Regions from separate parts of the Mus musculus genome. Here region 1 is reported to be linked to region 2. The links are microRNA targets in miRTarBase. Many come from high-throughput screens and were not tested one by one. Region 2 holds a microRNA gene; the other region holds the end of a gene's coding sequence.
The links. Region 2 holds the annotated microRNA mmu-miR-1843b-5p (AUGGAGGUCUCUGUCUGACUU, at 2,030-2,050, opposite strand). A microRNA usually pairs through its seed, bases 2 to 8, with sites in the 3' UTR of a target mRNA and lowers its output. Matches are read on the target gene's strand: a 7mer-m8 pairs with bases 2 to 8, a 7mer-A1 pairs with bases 2 to 7 and ends in A, and an 8mer does both.

Region 1 (3,720 bases), not on the chromosome of region 2:
AGCCTGACTTTGAAAAAAAAAAAAAAAAAGGCAGTTACGATTAAACCATCTCCCTGGTGCTTATGCTATTAATTGCCACCTCAAACAGCACCAAATCAAAATCTCTCCACTTTTCAGCTGTCTTTGGAGGACGTACGTAATAAGGTTTTATTTAGTAAACCAACCCTATGCATGGTTTCAGCACTAGCCAAACCTCACCAACTTTTAGTCTAGAAAAACAGGCATTTGGCACCCTTGTGATATACAGAGAAGTCACAGGGCAGTACCTGAGGGTCTGTAGGTTGCACACTTTGGTACCAGGTAACTTTTTTTTCTTTATAAGAAAGAGTACTCCACACTGCACAATAGCTCCTCCCAGGGTTTTAACTTTGTTTTATTTTCAAAACCAGGTCCAATGAGCTTTCTGAACAGCTGGTGTAGCTACAGAGAAACCAGCTTCCTTCAGAGAGCAGTGCTTTTGGCGGGGAGGAGGAAATCCCTTCATACTTGAACATTTTCTAATTGCTTATTTATTGTATTCTGGGGTATGGCGTAAGTACAGAGAAGCCATCACCTCAGATGGCAGCTTTTAAAAGATTTTTTTTTTTCTTCAACACCATGAATTCCTTTAACATGTTTCCAGCATTCCCAGGTAGGCCAAGGTGTCCTACAGAAAAACCTTGGGTTAGACCTACAGGGGGTCTGGCTGGTGTTAACAGAAGGGAGGGCAGAGCTGGTGCAGCTGGCCATGGAGAAAGCTGACTTGGCTGGTGTGGTACAGAGAAGCCAGCTTGTTTACATGCTTATTCCATGACTGCTTGCCCTAAGCAAGAAAGTGCCTTTCAGGATCTATTTTTTGGAGGTTTATTACGTATGTCTGGTTCTCAATTCCAACAGTTTAATGAAGATCTAAATAAAATGCTAGGTTCTACCCAAACTGTGTCTATTACTTGTCCATTGTTGCTTTCTGAGCTAAAATTTATAGCATCTGCTACCCATTGCCAGCAATAAAGTTTTCAACCAGGACTACGATAAAAGCTTAGTGATTTAGAAAGCCTGGCTTATACTGTGCATGCACCACGGTTTATGGAGGTCAGGATTTTTATTCACACTTGGAGATCCGTCCTGGGAAATCAACACTGTCTGAAGGCTTTGGCAATTAAGTGCTGCCTTTTGGATGGCAGAAGCAAGCAGAACAGGGGTCAAGAGGCTTCTGTGATGGCAGGAATTTAGTCTATATGCTAGATAGGTATTTTACTCTTTCTTGGCACTAAAAACATTTAAGAGTTGGTTTTTCAAGTCCTGGAACCCTGTAGACCAGGCTGGCCTCAGATCCGCCTGCCTTTGCCTCCCCAAGTGCTGGGATTAAAGGCATGCGCCACCACTGCCTGGCCATTTAAGAGACTTTAAGATGAGACTAATTTCATAGACATGTAGCTTTAATTCATAGCAATCAGAAACCCTGCTATGGTGTTAATGTTACACAAAATGTATTGATTTTCTTTGCCTGGTGGTGATGGCAGCTTGTTCCTTTAATCCTCCCACTTGGGAGGCAAAGATAGACATAGTTAAATTGCTGGTAGTCTCCAGAATGGCTCATGTATCCATCCAATTATTCAAGAATAGCAAGTCCTTATCTCAAGTTTTTAGAGGCTTGCTTGCTCAAGACAAAAATGACAAATTGCCCACTGGCAAGAACAGGACAATTAGGAACTTGAGATCCTCAGCTACATAATTTATATTTGGGGGTGTCCTGGGGTGAGACCATCTCAAAAGTGCTCTACCACATAGATGTGCTTGTGAGATCTTAAAAGCTAGCTTGAGCCCTCAATCTTAAGGAGGTCCTGAGAAATACTAGGTACATAAACACTTAACTAGGCCAGTGAGAAGAGAAGGAAATATGGGCAAGCAGGAAGTGTACTCGAGATAGGTGGAGTACTAAATAGGGTCTTGCTTCCCCTGCACTGTCCCTAAACTGAGCCTCTGCTGAAACTATAGATGCATACCAGTGCCCAGTTTATTTGGTAAGACTTACTGCATGGGAGACTATGTTACCAACTGAACCCCCATTTCTAGTCCCAAGCAGCTTAACTACTACTGAGCTCATCTCCACTTAATTCACTCTTAAATCAACATGGAAGGAGCATCGCGTGAACCTTGGGTTCATAAGCACTGCAAAAGTTTGAAAAGGACACCCCCCCCCCTCCTTACTACTCAGGGCTGACCGTTTAAGGACATAATGCCAGGTTGTATTTCATCAGAGCTCCCCGAGCCAACCCCTCTGGCCCATTGTATGCATTAAGCTAGATTTTTGGTTCTCCATTCTCAGACCTAACCTGTGCAATTGACCCTACCCTGGTCTTATCCCTAACTAGATTTCAAAATAAAGGGTGAAGGGATAGAGTGATAGTAGAGATAAAAATAGGATGAATAGAAGGAAGATGTGATGGAGTTGGACAAATACAAGAAAGCAGAAAACCTCAAGGCTTATGACTCAGCAATGGCTTAGAGAGTTACCATTCACTAAGCTGATTTATGCAAAAGTAAGCCATCTGGCTTCCCTATTTAGTAGTGCTATTCTGATGCCAAAGATGCTGAGCAACTTGCTGGCTACAAATAGGAATAAGTAAATTGTAAATTAAAATCTACCTTGTGCATTTGTTAGTACCTGGTCACCCTAGTCACTTGGCATTAACATAAGTTGTAAGCTATAATTCTTCAGCTTTAGTGTTGGTGGGTCTGAAAATTACAAGCAGCAGGATACAGGACCTTAAATCTAACAGATTTCAAATTGTCAACTCCCAGATGCCTTTGGGTAAATTTTGTCTTCCTTTCTTCAAAGGTAAAGGCCAATGCTTCTTAAAGTACTAAGTATGTTAATTCAGGTACACTGCTTCAAATGGTACCAAGCACATAGCAAGCACAATGAATTCAGCTACATTCACTGTGGTGTAATTCCTTTTCCTAAAGAACAAGTCAACTTAAAAAAAAAAAAAATGACTATTAATAAGCCAGGTAGTGAATTTTGAGACCACTAAAACAAGTTTAATAAGAAAGCCAGGTAGTGATGTCCCGTGCCTTTAATTTCAGCACTCAGGAGAGCTGGTCTGGTCTACATGGAGAAATCTTGTCTATAAAAACTAAAAGCCCAGTGGGGCGTGGTGGCACACACCTTTAATCCCAGCACTTGGGAGGCAGAGGCAGGAGAATTTCTGAGTTGGAGGCCAGCCTGGACTACAGAGTGAGTTCCAGGACAGCCAGTGCTACACAGAGAGAGACCCTGTCTTGAAAAAGAAAAAATACAAAAAAAAAAAAAAGAAAAAAGAAAAAATGTAAGCTATAATTTTAAAGAACTTATAAGGGGAAAAAATGTAAAGGGAAAAGCAACTAGGTTTGGTGATCTATGTAATTACAAAACAGGCTGAAGCAGAGGGACCAACCATGAGTTTGAGGCCAGCCTGGGCTGTACTGTGAAAGCCTGTCCCATATCATTTTTCTCCAAAAATATGTTCTTTGCGTAGACAATAAGCCTATAACAGGCTGCCCCCACATCTGCACAGAGCATCTGTACATCCCTCAGAACTCAGAGTGAACATGCTCAGAATCTGGCTCTGACGGGTGATTTGAAGAATCTGTGTTTGAAGCACTTGACTCATCAACTGGTTCAAATGGTCGCAAGTTTGCATATGTCACCTCTTGGGCTAGTTGCTCTAGGGAAGGGCGGCCTAATAGCAGGTTTCG
Region 2 (4,664 bases):
TGTAAAGAGCAGTACATTATATACAGGTAGGATTTACCCAGATTTTAACTCGGTTTCTAACATTAACAAATCATCGACAGACTCTCTGGTACAGGAAAGCTTAGCATTTATACCAAGCCCTAGGCTCAATTCCTAGCATCAAATAATAAATAAATAAACGAATGAAAATAAAAATAAAGATATCAAAGGATATAAATTATGTTGAGACTGAGAAAAACACACATTAATACAAAATTCAATTTATTAACTTATAATAAAAAAATCAATTCAAGGTGATAAGTTATCTACACGTAAAAGTGTAAGTAAATGGAGAGAGAATGGAGGAATAGAAAAGGGCTGGGGGTGGGGAGGAGAAACTGGGAGGAGTTGAAAAAGGGGTGAGTATTATCAAAACAGATTTTATGAAATTCTCAAACAACTAATAGAAAAATAAAAAAAAAAACCCGCATGCATTGAGTTTAAGAGGACAAATAAAACCATGGAGTTTATGACCAGCCTATGAAAAATGCTGATAAGCTTATCTCAACAAAATTAAATATAACTTAGTTATTAGAATAAATAAACTAATAATGTAAGATATGGGCAAGGATAAGGAGCAAGTAGGTGATCATAGTTTGCTGAGAAGAATGAAAAAAATAATCCATTACTTTTGGGAAAAGGTAATACAAAGTTAACTACACACCTCTTATGATGTAGCAATTCTATCTTATAGATATTATGTGTAAAAGAAAGACTGCTAAGCCATATAAATATTTGCTTATTATTCAAACCTAACCTAGAATCATTTTTACATACAAAATGAGTGAACACAAAACTTTTGCTACAATTATAAATAAAAAAGTTGCTTAGAAAAACAACACTATCGTAAAACTATAAATACAAAGAATAATGTCAACAAATTCAACAACAAACCAGGCTGAAGAAGCCAGACAAAAAGAAAGAACATAAATATTCTGTTTTTTCTATTATATGACAGTCTACGGAAAACCAAGGCCAAGAACCAGCAGCTCATGAAGACTAATACATCAATATTGATTTCTATCTTATTAAACTAGTAATCTTGCCATGTGCCTAGGAAAAAGGGATCCTAGAAAAGAATTTATCAGGTACAAGTGTGTCTCAACTCTCATTACTGTTTCAACAACTGTTCCATATAGAATTTGGACAGAGAAAGAAACATGGGGAGTTCAGGACCACAAACAAAAATCACCTCACAATTTATAGAACTAGGTGGGGTTGCTCACAGTATACCCGAGTGCTGTGTGCCTCTCAGTTCCTATAAAGGCTCCTTTTCTCCTATCCTCCCACCCAAACTTTGACTCAAACACTTCACATTTTGTACTAAGAAGCAAAAACTTTCCTTGGAAATGGTCATTTCCAAACTTTGGCTATAGACTTAAAAGAACACACATCTGTATTTTGCTTTTTTATTCAACATAGGGGACTCATGGCCTTGGACTAAAGGCAATTCTCCTGCCTCAGCTTCTCAAATGTTGGGATTACAAAGGTATGGGTCCTAGTATGTAGCAAGAAATCAATTTTTAATACAAAGAACTTCATAGACACTTTCAATAGTCCCTTCGTATACAAAATGTTGATAGCCCAAGATTAATTAACTCAACCCCTAAAAAAAAAAAACCCGGCAATTCTACATACATTACACATGCTAGTTACAGATTTTTTTTTCAAATAAATAAGCCAATAGTAATAACTATTTTCAAAAACTACCAACCAGCCTGTATTTAAATAGTAGAGGCAGGAATTCCAATCTAGGAATGTAGGTGATGTGAGTCTTTATTTTAAAGAACATTAAGAAAGGGTCAAACCACAAACAATCAAAATCCATAAAATACTTCAAAATGCTTGAAGAAAACTTGGGTTTTTTTTTTGTTTGTTTGTTTGTTTGATTCTATAATCTAGTATAATTTAATCAGCAGAAATATTGCATAAATGATAAACAAAACAGTATTTAGAGGGGAAATTCAAAAGGTTGTATGGAGGGGAACGATCGGACTTAGCCAGCTATCCTAAGTCAGACAGAGACCTCCATGTTGATGTAGGATTGCTGCCTTCTGCAGACAAAAGACAGCTTCTCATTTGTCTGCATGGTTGACTCCGCAGCTTCCATTGTTAGTGTGATTTATTCTTAATATAACATTTGTTATAGTCTTTTATATTCCAATTTTCTTTCTGTATTTTTATATTATTCCAACTTCTAACTGCTTAGAATTCTCATAATAAAAAAGAACCCTAAAAAGGCACATTTAAGAAAGAAAGGCAAAGGATTTCTAGTCAGAGAGAAGAAGTCTAAAAGTATATATTTGGTTGTATTTTCCCTCTGTAATTAGTGCTTGGATTTCCCAAAGAACATGTAACAATGGGATTATAATACAATAAACATATTTTTGTAGTGAGATGAAGCAATTGAAAGTATAGGTATTTTGCTTATGATATATTCTTGAAATAGGACTGGTGGTCAAAATATATAAGCTACAGTTACTTTTAAGTAACAAGAAACTTGTCTCAATAACGGGTGCCAAAGGTAATAGTAATGCCTATGACGATGGGAAGTCATTTGGTAGTAGTGTATGTAGACAGGCTAAGAGAGATGGAAAACTCATATAAGTAATATAGGTGGGCAAGGGAAAAAGAACAGGAGAATACAGACAAAACCAGAACAATTGAAAAGATGGATATATGAGACACCCAAAGAAAGAATTATTGTACTTGGTAAGTAAATGGAAGATAAAGATATACAACAAAGCTGATTCTATGGCACTTGCCTTAAATGACATGACATAAACCAGAAGGAAACAAGAATGCTAACACATCAAAGCTGAAAATAATCAACTGACATGTTGTGATACACTCTTTCTCTCCTACAGAAGATACTCTTAGAGTTCGTCCTTCTCTGATTTAAATTCTCAATGCTCAACTGTCTTAAACACGCTCTTATTTTTGTTATTTAAATTTTTAATTAATAAGCTAGACTTTAAATTGTTTAGATAAGTATCAATTAAAAGGCACAGGTGAAGAACGTGTAAAACTGACGTACTAGGGCACTTCATTTCACTAGTTTGGAATGTGGCCCATGTGTTAAGAGGCTTCATCTATTGGTGGCATTTCTGTGAAGCAGAATATTTGGCAAGCAGATCTTGGGGATTGGGATGCACTGTTAGGTCATTGGGGATATTTTCTCAGACAGAACAGTAGACTCTGGTCCCCTCTTCTGCCTGTTTTGCTTCTTAGCCATTAAGAGAGCACTGCCATCTGGCATGCCCACAAAAGTTACAAGATAATCCATCAGACCAACCTTTGGCTGCAATCTCTAAGCCTGTGAGCCAAAATATATCTTTTCTCTTTTAAGCTGATTATCTCAGACACTGGGCTACAGTGACAGAGCACTGACTAAATAAATGATTTCTGATAACAAAATTCAAAGTAGCCACAGATTATTAAAAAAGAGAGCAAAAATTCTTTTCTAGGTCTTAAAATTTTGATTGACAATGTACAGCAATCAAATGAAGAGCATATCAGAAACTGAATATGAACGACTAAATGAAACAATTTCCTAGAATCTAACCTGCAACAAAACCTTGCAGGTTTACAAGACAGCAGTGACCAGTTTTCTCATTTTTTCCTGGACACTACAATACAAATCACATAATTTACAAAAAAAAAAAAATACTCATCTGTGTCAGTGTGTAGTCAATAAACTTGTAAGCACAAGTCTGTCTTCTGTCAAACCAGTTTAGTTTGGTTGATCCAGTGTGCCCGATATTAAATCAATCCTGAACCTGGATAAACGTGTTTTTACTTTACCCTCATTGTCATTTCTGGGTACATTCCTATATAGGGCTCCACAGTTTGCTCTAAATGCCCCTTGGAGGGTCACTGTGAAAAGTTTGGTCCCTCAGGTAGTTCTACTGGGCATGGTGAGGTTTTAATAGTGATGTTAAAAGGCTGTCAGGTTGTAGGAGTCTGCCTGAGATGGACCAGAGGTCTCATCTTCAGAAACTTTGAGGTAACAAGCATAAAGCTAAGAAACTACAATTTTAAATACATATTCCAGGTAATTATGAATTCTGACCCAGGCAAAGCATAGGCTTTGGATGCTATGTATAATGTGATGATGTTGAAAATTCTATGATACTGAACTTGGAACAATAATTTGCATTTTCTGTTTCTGAAAGTTATCAGCTATTACGTTAAACTTACATCTTATTGTGTAATCACTGGAGGCATCACTGGTAGGCTTTAAACAAGCAAGATAATTCAAATAAGATTTGCTATGAATAAGGGCATAAGGTCAAGGGAATGATGAGAGCCTCAACCAATGGGAGATGGGAGGGTCTGAAGGCATACATATTTAAGGTACTTAAAAGGATCAAATTAGTGCACGCATGTGTATCTTTCTAAGATCCTAGTCTCTAATAGTTTTAACTGAGTCTTTAACTACATTGATTTTAAATTGAACAAAACTAAAATTCCAGGCTTTTTCAAGTGGTAGAAAACTATTATAATAACATAATACTGTTTGAATGTCTGTAGCAACTTCATTGTTTCATGAGTGGAAGGTCATAGTGGCTTGTTTCTTCATATATGTTAGTGGAATTATTGGAGAACTATTTAGCACATACAAATATCATGGCACAAATTCTGGA

Region 1: the mRNA of Ggcx is a reported target of mmu-miR-1843b-5p. Seed matches in the 3' UTR shown: 7mer-A1 at 3,197-3,203.

Annotation. Positions count from the first base shown.
Region 1 is chr6:72,429,992-72,433,711 of GRCm38, reverse strand. It overlaps Ggcx (gamma-glutamyl carboxylase), which reads right to left. Exons shown (of 15, transcript NM_019802.5): 15 at 2,606-3,720. The coding sequence ends at 3,556. It overlaps Mat2a (methionine adenosyltransferase II, alpha), which reads left to right. Exons shown (of 9, transcript NM_145569.5): 9 at 1-916. Among named protein-coding and RNA genes, the nearest start is that of Particl, 6.8 kb to the left of the region's middle.
Region 2 is chr1:159,337,748-159,342,411 of GRCm38, reverse strand. Mir1843b (microRNA 1843b) reads right to left here and starts at 2,054; the gene lies at 1,989-2,054. All of the region lies in intron 18 of Cop1 (COP1, E3 ubiquitin ligase), which reads right to left. It also overlaps Scarna3a.